Ovis aries: one gene and its partners. The protein of the gene in region 3 purifies or fractionates together with the protein of the main gene of each other region. This does not show direct contact. Links are inferred from orthologs where the notes say so. Each region holds a gene or a part of one and is shown on either strand. Other genes may lie near its edges.

Evidence for each region.
Region 1: the proteins of TBC1D15 (region 3) and UBAC2 purify together in Homo sapiens (affinity purification with mass spectrometry; 3 studies listed by BioGRID and IntAct, counting the BioPlex papers as one, with this or other methods). This does not show direct contact. The link is inferred for Ovis aries from reciprocal best matches to the Homo sapiens genes TBC1D15 and UBAC2.
Region 2: the proteins of TBC1D15 (region 3) and UBXN8 purify together in Homo sapiens (affinity purification with mass spectrometry; 3 studies listed by BioGRID and IntAct, counting the BioPlex papers as one, with this or other methods). This does not show direct contact. The link is inferred for Ovis aries from reciprocal best matches to the Homo sapiens genes TBC1D15 and UBXN8.

The regions. Positions count from the first base shown.
Region 1 is NC_056063.1:75,587,806-75,591,454, reverse strand, and holds the end of UBAC2 (ubiquitin-associated domain-containing protein 2), read right to left. Parts: intron 1,677-3,649; coding exon 1,569-1,676; 3' UTR 470-1,568; downstream 1-469. UniProt on the Homo sapiens protein: Restricts trafficking of FAF2 from the endoplasmic reticulum to lipid droplets.
Region 2 is NC_056079.1:26,015,898-26,019,546, reverse strand, and holds part of UBXN8 (UBX domain-containing protein 8), read right to left. Parts: intron 2,367-3,649; coding exon 2,244-2,366; intron 1,470-2,243; coding exon 1,332-1,469; intron 1-1,331. UniProt on the Homo sapiens protein: Involved in endoplasmic reticulum-associated degradation (ERAD) for misfolded lumenal proteins, possibly by tethering VCP to the endoplasmic reticulum membrane. May play a role in reproduction.
Region 3 is NC_056056.1:107,916,196-107,920,398, forward strand, and holds the start of TBC1D15 (TBC1 domain family member 15), read left to right. Parts: upstream 1-1,278; 5' UTR 1,279-1,311; coding exon 1,312-1,341; intron 1,342-4,203. UniProt on the Homo sapiens protein: Acts as a GTPase activating protein for RAB7A. Does not act on RAB4, RAB5 or RAB6.

The DNA of each region.
Region 1 (3,649 bases), on a different chromosome or scaffold from region 3:
TTCCTGTGACCTGTTTGCACTGGAAGCCCAGAGTTGGGGGTTTAGATTTGCCGTGGAGGTGACACACGAATCCGCCCTCTCAGGCCCTCTGGTCGAGCTCTGTCAGTGACTGTGGTCGAGGACATCCCTGCACTTTTGACTGTCCCTACAATCTGAGACGTGGACACTCAGATCGAGTTGTGGCCTCTCCTTGGGACCAGCTAGGCTCTGAGTCATCTCAGCCCGCATTCTGAGCAGCCTGATGGCCCTGGCAAGCCTCAGGATGGGGTCTCACAGGGGCCAGTCCTAATTTACAGGCACCAAAGAGCTCCTCTCACTTCAAATAAAGGACCCCAATCTTCTCCAGAAAGATGAGCAGTCTGGTTAAAAAAAATTTTTTTTTTTTTTGCTGGTAAAGAATAGCACAGCCTAGAACAAAGTTTTATTTAGGTTAACTCTTAAAAAACAAAACAAAACAAAACACCAAAAAGCAAAACACATTAAAAACTTTATTGTTAAGTACCACGCATGTCTAAATTTGCATCAGTTTGAAACACTTCTGCTGGCTTTGCAGAACACAATAGTTGCAAGTTTCTTTAAATCTTTAACAGTCGCCTGCTTTAGGTCTTTCCAGGCTCGTCTGTTCTGGCCTCCCCCTCCTACCCGTGGTGGGGTCCGTCTACTCTGCCCCACGCTGACATCGGGTCACCCCTGGGCCAGTGGGAATCTGCTTCTAGAGGGGTTGGCCCTGCAGCTAGGGCGGCCTGTACTCCTCGAGGAAGCCCTCTCTTCTTGTTATTTTCTCTTTGTCCCATTTTTACTCCCAGCCCAAGTGGCTAACTGGGGATATTCTAAGCAAAATTCACCCCAGTGAAGTTTCATGGAGTATTCCAGAACTGCAAGCTGGTATCTGATAATTCTTTTTTTTTTTTTAATGGAAGTGGGGAGTAGCTGGGACAAATCCCCTGGACTGGAGCTGGGTAGAACAGGTGGAGGTGGGTTTAAGTTTCCTCTCCCTCCCTTGTCGGCGGGCCTGGCCATCTCTGCAGCTATGAACTGCTGGCTCTGGGGGAATGAAGACCCTGAACAGCACTGGAGTTTGAAAGCAAATTTGACTGGGGCAGGGGTCGGGGTGGGGGGCAATGAAAAAACGTCCATAAATAAAATCTGACAAGTGCTGTCTGAATAACAGCCCCCTTTCTGGCACAAATGATCTGATATCATGTAGAAAGATACGTTACGGTAGAAAGAATATTAAAGCAGCTGTAATTTCCCATCTGTAGCGCTATTCCCCTGCTTCCTGAAATCTGCAATTTGAGTGCATTTTAAACACGTCAGGAATAAGTGATGATTCTCCAGAGCAAGGGAAATACTCCATAAAAAAATAAAGATAGAAAAGGCATGCTATTTTAATGGCAAACTTACTTTGGATACTTAATGGTAACTGATCTTGGAATTAAGGGAGGGAGTGGCAGGGACCCCCTGTGCCCAGGAGGACAGTGGGGACTTGGTGCCAGCCAGCGTGCCATCTTGGGCTGCGCCCGCCGAGGCCAGCAGCCTGCCAGTCCCTGTGTTGTCGGCCGGGACCCTCAGTGTTGCAGCAGGAAGTGGGTGGCCACGTTAAGGTCGTTATTGGAAGCTCTCAGGGCTTCCAACGCGTCGCCCCTGGAAAACCCCATCTCCATGAGCCGGGCAACCTGAAAACAGAAACAAAACCGGAAGCCTGATGAGGAGGCTGACCGCACTGCCACCAATCCCCCAGCCCCATGATGTTCCTCGAGCGACTTTTAATGTTCCTCGTGAGCTTTTCAGGTTAAAGAGAAAATAAACCACCCTTTCATTTAGTGCGAAAGCTGATGTTTATGAAACGACAACGGACCCGTTTTCAGGTGCTCACTATATTCGGTCCACAGAAGTGCATTTTCTCACTTAATCCTCACTTTCAGAACAAGAAAGGGGGCTCCTGAGGGTCAGTGACCTGCCAGGACGAGCAGAGAATGGCTGCGCTGTGGGCCCCAGGCCTGGGGTGGGGGTGGAGGGGGCAGGTCGTACCAGCAGCCCCACGCACAGGCCTTCAGGGTCAATCGGATTCCTGAAGAATAACACCCCAGCCGCATTTCCCCGGGCAGGTGAACAGCTGCTTAACTGGGGATTTATTCCTGATGCTGGTGGACTCTGACGGTACACACGCCTCGGAGCTCCCGGCGTGGCTCAGGCAGAGCATGGCCTTGGGGTGCCCACCCCACAGCCTCTCCCAGCAGGTGCGGCGCCCCCGGAGTCCCCACCGGCAGAAGGGATGAAGTCCAGGCACAACCTCGCGGGGGAGGCAGCTAGAGCCACGGCGGAAATCCTGAAGCTGTGAATGCAGAGGCTTCCTGTACTTTTACATACAGGCGGTCTCCAAGGCTGAAACGGCAGGGTTATTGGTTTATTCCTTGTGACCTGTTTTCCTACTTGAAAATGTATTACAGAAACATTTAGGACCCTGGACTAGCTGCAGGAGTCTTTTCTTTAACTTATTTGGAAATAAACTACATTTGCAATAACATATATTGAAAAGTGATACTCTTCCAAATGTTAAGATTTTCAACAAGGTGTAAGTTGACGAGGGCCTGGGGACTTAGTCACCACTTCTAACCTCCTTTCCACAGAACGCGATGCCCGGGGGGCACACAAGGGTCAGAGCCCTGCCGCCCCTCCTTCCCCTGCGGAGGAAGGTGTGGGCGGGGCGAGTGGGGAGGGCGGGGCGAGTGGGGAGGGCGGGGCGCAGCCGAGTGGGCCAGAACCATTCAGATCCCAGGTCCCTGGGCCCTAAAGGAACCTTTTGTTGCTGTTCAGTCACTAAGTTGTGACCCCAGGGGCTGCATGCAGCACATCGGGTTCCTCTGTCCTCCACTCTCTCCTACTAGAGTTTGCTCAAACTCATGTCCATCGAGTCAGTGATGCCTCCAACCATCTCATCCTCTGCCACCCCCTTCTTTAGCCTTCAATTTTTCCCGGCATTAGGGTCTTTTCCAATGAAGTCAGCTCTTCACATCAGGTGGCCAAAGTATTGGAGCTTCAGCATCAATCCTTCCAATGAATATTCAGGGTTGATTTCCTTTAGGATTGTCTGGTTGGATCTCCTTGCTGTCCAAGGGACTCTCAAAAGTCTTCTCCAGCACCATAATTCAAAAGCATCAATTCTTCAACACTCAGCATTCTTGATGGCCCAACTCTCACATCCGAACATGACTACTGGAAAAACCATAGTTTTGACTAGGTGGACCTTTGTCGGCAAAGTGATGTCTCTGCTTTTTAATACACTGTCTAGGTTTATCATAGCTTTCCTTCCAAGGAGCAAGCATCTCTCATGGCTGCAGTCACTGTCAACAGTGATTTTGGACCCAAGAAAAGAAAATGTCACTGCTTCCACTTTTTCCCCTTCTATTTGCCATGAAGTGATGGGGCTGGCTACCATGTTTTTGAATGCTGTTTTAAGCCAGCTTTCTCACTTTCCTCTTTCACCCTCATCAAGAGGCTTGGGAAGAGGTTAACCCAGCTGGGAGGAAACAAGGCACACTTTTCAGAAGCTGGGGCTCTGGCCAGTGTTTTTCAAACTGAGGCTGGGACCCCTCATCAGTGGGTTAAGACCAAGATTAAAAAAGAAGCACATGGTGAAGGGCTTCCC
Region 2 (3,649 bases), on a different chromosome or scaffold from region 3:
TAAAGAAACAGGATAAAAATTAAGTTCAGTAGAACCCCTCGATTATTTAGGTTCACACATATATGCATCAGGATGAGTACATATATATTTCTCTTTATTGGTGCCTTCTAAGGGGCTGGAAAACCACCATCCACTTTGGTTGCTTTCATGATTTATCCACATTTCCCTATTTCTGTTAATCTATTAAAACACCAGATGTACAAAGCATTTTCTCTCACTAAAACACTGTACAACAATTTCACCTTCAAGGGATGCTTTTTATTTTTTAATACCATAGATTCCATATTTTATAACATTTTATCTAACAAATATTCATTGCATTTATTAAATAAATCATTTCTTTTTGTTTGGTATCAAAAACATATGTGATGGTCAATTAGAATTTACCATCAGCATGAGATAATCTATGCTATTAACACATAACAAAGAATCTTACAAATGTAATAAGTCCATGTAGCTCTCTAGATCTTTTTCAAATGTTAGAAACAGTTTAAAGACCCAGTTCCCACCCTCAAGCTCCATGAAGGGACCAGGAAACCTCAGACTGAGAAGCAATACATTGGAAATTACTTTTAGGGAATACACAGCTTAGCAGCTTTACCTAAGACTCGATAGAAATACACTTATTTCAACCTTAACCAGCTCCAAATTGGTCTTCTTAAGGATTAAAGATTTGAAAGAAAAGAAGGAATAATAAACCTGGACATCACTCCAGAGTGAATGGTTGCTAACTCATTCCCTAAAAGGGGCACTGAGGACAATGATATATTCATGTTAATAACGTTAGCCATTCAACTAAGCTCCAGTACTTTAGCCACCTGATGTAAAGAGCCGATTCATTGGAAAAGACCCTGATACTGGGAAAGACTGAAGGGAAAAGGAGCAGGGGGCAGCAGAAGAAAAGATGGTTGGAAGGCATCACTGACTCAATGAACATGAGTTTGAGCAAACTCTGGGAGATAGTGGCGGACAGAGGAACCTGGCATGCTGTAGTCCATGGGGTCAGAAAGAGTTAGACACAACTGAGCAACTCAACAACAAAATATATGACTTCTTGTATCTTAGCTGCCCAAAGGAATGTCTCCGTTAGTAAATATTGCATTTTTTGTTTCTACATAATTAAATTACTTCCTTAAAAAGAACTATTTACTAAATGTACTATCATTTCCCTTCCTAGATTCCTTGTAAGTTTGGCTCAGAATGCTAGTATTTAACAAGAAAAGTGATTCTTAATGAAGCTGAAGTGATTCTTAATGAAGACACCATCTGGATTCCCTCAATATACCACTTCACGCAGATACAGCTCAGTGAACAGGTATTAAGTAATGAACCTCCTTCTTCGTGGGCTGCTCAGTGGGTGGTAAAACTTTGGTTACAGTCTTAGGCAAGTTCCGTCTCTTTGCTGCTTCTCTGTTTGATGTTTCAAAAGACGTCTGACTCTCACTATCAAGCTCCAAATCTTCATCACCCTGTTCAAAAGCAAACTCAATTCAGAAGTGAAGTCACTACCAACAGCAGTTGTATTTTATGTTGCCATCTTTCACATTAACTTTCTTACCAACCCTTGATGGTTTCATGGCAGATTTACCATTATGAAATGGATACAAACATTCTGCTTCATTGTCAGAATCTTGTTTACCCCTACTGGATCATCTTCTTTATGAGATGATGAGAGGTACAGTGTAAATAGAAAGCAAAAAAAAAGTCTTTGGGACAGAAAGCATCTTACACAAAAAAATCTGCAGCCAGTTCCTCTAAAAATGAATTTCTTTATGAATATCCTTTTTTCGCTGAAAGAAAACTTAACATTGTAAACTTCCATTTGCAAATGACAAAATTCATACTCAATGCCAAAGGAAGAGAGTCAAAGGTCAATTTGGCTTCAAAAAACAGAGCTAAACAGAATGAATATAATGTGAGCTTATAATACCCAAGAGATTTGGATGCCCTCATATAAAAGATGTGATTTAGTCAACAGTTTTCTCAGACTGTCTTAAGTTAGAACTTTTCAAGGATCTAAGTTATATGCTCTTTAGGCACCAAAAACCACTTAAACATTTGACATAAAAATATGATCAATAAAAACTATATATATATATAACTGATATATAAGCATTCTTAATAAAGACTCCTAAAAATACACTGGAATAATAATTTGAAATTTTTAAAAAAATTAGTATATGTTAAAGGGAACATAAACAATAGCAGGATTAAAAAAATATGAAATGAGAATATTTTCTAACCCCAAGTTTATGACCATTGCTTAACTTCCAGGTTTCACCCGTCATCTGATAAAAGCGTTCTTCCAGCTTTTTCAACTTCATTTCCTGGCTAGGTTTTAGAACATTCTCTATGTATCTGCTGACCTGTTAAAAAAAAAAAAAATCAGGTGACTATACATTAACACCCCTAAGATTTTATTTACATTGTCTATAAAGTTGTAAATAAGAACCAGGTAAGAAGTGGTGTTTTAACACTGATTCAGTTTTGCCAAAAAACCTACATCCTCCACTGTTGCACTACTCTCTAAAAATTTGCATTTGTACACAATGCAAAGAAAAACAAATTTTCTATCCTTCTGCTTGTATGGCAGTCTGCTGATACATCCTTTAATGGGTTTTCAGTGCAACAAAAACTTACTAGGGTTGGAGATATAAGTATGCCCAAGTGCTACCTGATATTTCAAGATCATGAAAATAACTGTTAGATGATCATCCATGGTAAATGCAACTTCTAATTAGCAAAACCAATCTTGGATAGGATGAAGCAAAAGCAGTGCTCAGAGGTAAAGTTATGGCTATAAATATCTAATTAAAAAAGAAGAAAAGATATCAAATCATTAACTTTACATCTTAAAAATCTTGAAAAAGGACAAGTTAAACACAAAGCTGGCACATGAAAGCAAATAATAAAGAAGACATAAAAACAGGGAATAGAATAGAAAAACAACAGAACCAATGAAACCAAAAAGTGGTTCTTTGAAAAAAAATTAACAAACCTTTAACTTGACTAAGAACAAGAGATGACTACCAAAATCAGAAATAAATGTAGAGAAACTGAGACCCTCAGAAATTGCTGGTGGACATACAAAACGGTGTGGAAAATAGTTTGGCAGTTCCTCAAGAAGTTAATATATAGAATTACCATATGACCCAGCAATTCCATTTCTATGTATATACACCCAAAGAATCGAAAATAAGTTCTCAAATATTTGCACACAAATATTCACAGCAGCACTATCCACAATAGCCCAAAGGTGGGGACAACCTAACTGTCCATCAGTGAACAGAAAAACAAATTTTGATCCATCCATACAGTGGAATATGACTCAGTCCTAGAAGGAATGAAGTGCTGATTTATGCTATATGGATGAACCCTGCAAAACATTAGGCATGGGAAAGAAGTCAGACACAAAAGGTCACATGTTACATGATTTCACTTGTATGAAACATTCAGACAGATCCATACAAACAGAAAGCAGATTGTTGGTTGCCAGAGGATGGAAGGAGTGAGGAATGGGGAAATAACTGTTTAATGGGTTTGGGGTTTTCTTCTGGGATGACGAAAATGTTTTGGAACTAGACAGAGGTAGTGGTTGTACAACATTGTGAATATTCTAAATGCCACTGAATTACGGGCTTCCCTTGGT
Region 3 (4,203 bases):
TGAGGTGGCCAAAGTACTGGAGTTTCAGTTTTAGCATCATTCCTTCCAAAGAACACCCAGGGCTGATCTCGTTTAGAATGGTCTGGTTGGATCTTCTTGCAGTCCAAGGAACTCTCAAGAGTCTTCTCCAACACCACACTTCAAAAGCATCAATCCTTTGGCCCTCAGCTTTCTTCACAGTCCAACTCTCACATCCATACATGACCACTGGAAAAACCATAGCCTAGACTAGATGGACCTTTGTTGGCAAAGTAATGTCTCTGCTTTTGAATATGCTATCTAGGTTGGTCATAACTTTTCTTCCAAGGAGTAAGCGTCTTTTAATTTCATGGCGGCAATCACCATCTGCAGTGATTTTGGAGTCCCCCCAAAACAAAGTCTGACTCTGTTTCCACTGTTTCCCCATCTATTTGCCATGAAGTGATGGGACCAGATGCCATGATCTTCGTTTTCTGAATGTTGAGCTTTAAGCCATTTTTTTCACTCTCCTCTCTCACTTTCAAGAGGCTTTTTAGTTCCTCTTCACTTTCTCCCCTAAAGGGGGGTGTCATCTGCATATCTGAGGTTATTGATATTTCACCCAGCAATCTTGATTCCAGCTTGTGCTTCTTCCAGCCCAGCGTTTCTCATGATGTCCTCTGCATATATATTAAATAATGAGTTTAAAAACTTGTTTCCAGTTGTGTAGGAGTTAGGAGATACTGTGCGCTAGACTCTGGAGCGACGAAGGCGTGGTATTATCGCAGTTCCTATCAAAATACCTTGTTCTTGGTCATATGTCAGTGGCAGTCACCAGACTCAACGTCAGAAACTACACGAAGGCGAAAAGTCTCTGTGTGTGCGCCTCGGATAGAGGGCTGGATTCCGTTAACTTCACTACAGCCCTATTTCAATTTTACAATGAGACTTTGAGGCTGAAGGTGGAAGTGACTTGCCTATGGCCACAAAGCCATAGGTTTGTTGGCTCCCACTATGGTGTACTTTCCGTCATACGAAGCTGAAGAGGCCTGCGAACAGCTCACAACCTCGCTCCCAGACAAACTCCAAAATATGACGACTTCAACTTCTATACTCGCCAAGGAAAATTAAACCGGTACTTGAACCAGAGACTCCACCCAAGTAGCCGCCGAGCCTCCTACTCAGCGCGCATGCGTCAGGCTGCTCCTCCCGCCCCCGCGCTTCACTCCTCCGCCTTCCCGCCTCTCCCCGCCCCTTTCCCGCCCGGATGTCAGTCTAGCTTTGCCGGATGTTGTTGTGAGTCCGGGAGACACGTGAGGCACTGCTACGTCATCACAGGCACGCGCAGGAAACATGGCGGCGGCGGGTGCTGTGAGCGGGAAGGTAGGTAACGGCCCTGGAGGGACACTGCAGTTTTTCTCCGGGTAGGGCTGCTTTTGCTGCTAGGAGGCCGGCTGGGGAGGGATGCGAGGGCCTTTCTGTATCGGGAACAGCGTGTAGAGGGTGTAGGAGAAGATGCCTAGTTGTCAGCTGTTTTCTTGAGAATGCCGGTTCAGCCCGGGAATTAAGAGACCCGGCTCCTACTCCAAGACTAGCTAGGCCGTGGCGCTGTTTGGTCCGCTCTGCCCCAGGGCGATAGGCTTTTACCTGTCTTGCCTTTTCTAAGAGACAGGTTGTTGCCCTATTGCGTTCTTTTTCTGGCTCGATTTTCTCTGAGTGTCGTTCTTTCTGTCACTTTTCGGACTCTAGGGATTTTTCTGTCTTCCTTTGAGGCGTCAGCCTGACTCGCCTCCGCTTTCCTCTGCTTCACTCTGGTAAGGCATCTTTGTCCTCTTCGGGAGGAACTGAAAACAGGTGCTTTGCAGCTGTGCACTTAGAAGAGCGCATTGGATCCATTTTACCAGATTTCGAGTTGATTGGTGATGGTGAGCAGTAGGGATGTTTCCTCTCAGGGAGCTGGAGACTTACAGCATCCCACGCTTGTCTAGGAAGGCGTTAGTTATGGTATTTATTTCGGAAGCAAAGCTGTGATGTTCCCGTGGGAGACTCTGTGGTGCTGTTTTACGGAGTTGGTCATCGACCGCCTCGTTTTTCGTTAGGAGTTAGGATTAAGTGCGGAGGATATTTCATTGCATTCTGCCTATTCGTGTTCCAAGGCAACGTCATAATGCCTGTTAGTACTACCGTGGCATACTATGGCAACATTTCCAGTTGCGGGCGTATTTCGTAAACAGTTGGGTGGGGTAATGACTCATCTCATACCAAGGCCTATTTACTTTCCGCGGAGAGCTTCGTCTGTTCCTTGATGTCACTCATTTTCTTTACGCTGCCTTCTGCATACCATTTTGAATTGCGTGACAGCGTTTGTGTTTTAGTGTATGAACTACTAGCCAGAATAACACGCTACTTTTACCCTGAATTGTGACCTTGCGAAATTGAGCGAGCATGACTTCTTTGTCCTTCAAGGTCTTTATCTCCAGAGCGGATGTGGTGCTAGTCATTATTTTTTGCATTGGAGTTAGGATTATATGAAATGATATAAGCATTAAGAAAGTACGTCCTTCTGCATACTGAATATTTTAAATGATGGGTAGGTCATCGTTTTCGAGTTTTCTCGGTCTTTGGTTGTCTTGTCTATTTCTGTCTTTAGGATGGGTGCTGATTTTCTCTTTGACTCATTACATACAGTAAGATTTTCTATCTGGACTGATCCAATCTAGGACTTTCCAAGAAGGGATCCTTTTTATTTGAACTACACTTCGCTCTTTCAGGTGTGGGTTGATTTTGATAGAACCTTTGCGATGATGAAGCGGAGTTGTGAAATAGGACTTTTTTCACCCTTTCCTTCCAGGCACTCACTACATTTCATAATTTGCGTCTTTTACTTAACGCTACTTTATCACCGCATTTATTCTCACACGTTGCAAACTTAAACCCATTCTCATCACTGAACCTAAATTTTTTTTTTTCATGCCAAAGGCTGCCCATCTTTCAAATAATTCTGTTGTAACCAGTGAAACCTGCTTATTCCTCCCTCTTCAAGTTCAGATCCAGTTAATGGCGTCATCATTTACTTGGTTGCATGTAAAACAAACTTGGAGATGTCCATTTCTGTAACAGCATTTAATCAGTAAGATGGTAGGACTAATCAGATCCTACCAGTTTCACCTTAAAGAGGTTTCTTAAATTTGCTGCACCCTCTTCATTCAGACATTTAGCCTTGAGTTCTCTGCAGGGTTTTTTTTTCTTTTCTACAGTCTCTTTGCCCAAAGTCTCCTCTCTACACAAGCACTAGAGTTATTTTCTAGTGCCCGAGGCTGATTGTCTCTTGTTTTTAAAAAAAAAAAAAAAACAAAAGTCTTCATTATGTTATTGTCACCATTAAAATAATACTCAAGGCTGGTTAACATGGCATTAAAAATCTGTGTTGACTTTCTGGCTTTATCTTATACTTTTCTACTTCTCAGTCTTGTTTCTTTGGGAAAAGGGGGATAGGAAAGAAAACACACATATATTTGTGAAAGAGTGTGTATATGTGTGTCTCTGTATTGATTTATTCCCCACCCCCACCCCAAAGGTTCAGCTAAGACCTGTCTAATTAGAAACCTAGGGCAGTGAATGTTAACCAAGACTTTTAGGAATCACGTGTGGTACTTTTAAAACTATGGATGCTGGGTCGGTCACAGCCCAATTCTATTCATTAGAACCTTGTGGTGTTTAGATCTAGGATGTAGAGTAACTTTCCTACTGAGTCTACTTGCTTGAAAGTTTGATTCTAGGAAGTCACATGGTGAGGAAGTTAATCTCTGTCATATGGAGAAGCAGTGTAAGATAACAGCTAAGAGCATGGACTCTGGAGAGCCAAGCCAGTTTCAAAAACTAACTTCACACTTACTAGTGATGTCAGTCAAATTACTTAATGTCTCTTTGTTTCAGTTTCCTTATCTGTAATATAGGGAGGATAATAGTGTGTACTTCATGGGATTTTTAGGATAGATAAGGAAATGTATTAGAACAAAGCCTGGCATGTGGTGTTTAGATCCTGTGTAGGTGTTACTCATCATCTTGATTTCCCTGCAAGTCAGTGGTTAACTATGGTAGAATTTTGAAGGTTTAGAATATGGTTTTTGGTATGAGTGTGAAATTCATTTTTGAATTTCAGTTCAGTCGCTCAGTTGTGTCCGACTCTGTGACCCCATGGACTGCAGCACACCTGGCTTCCCTGTCCATCACCAACTCTAGGGG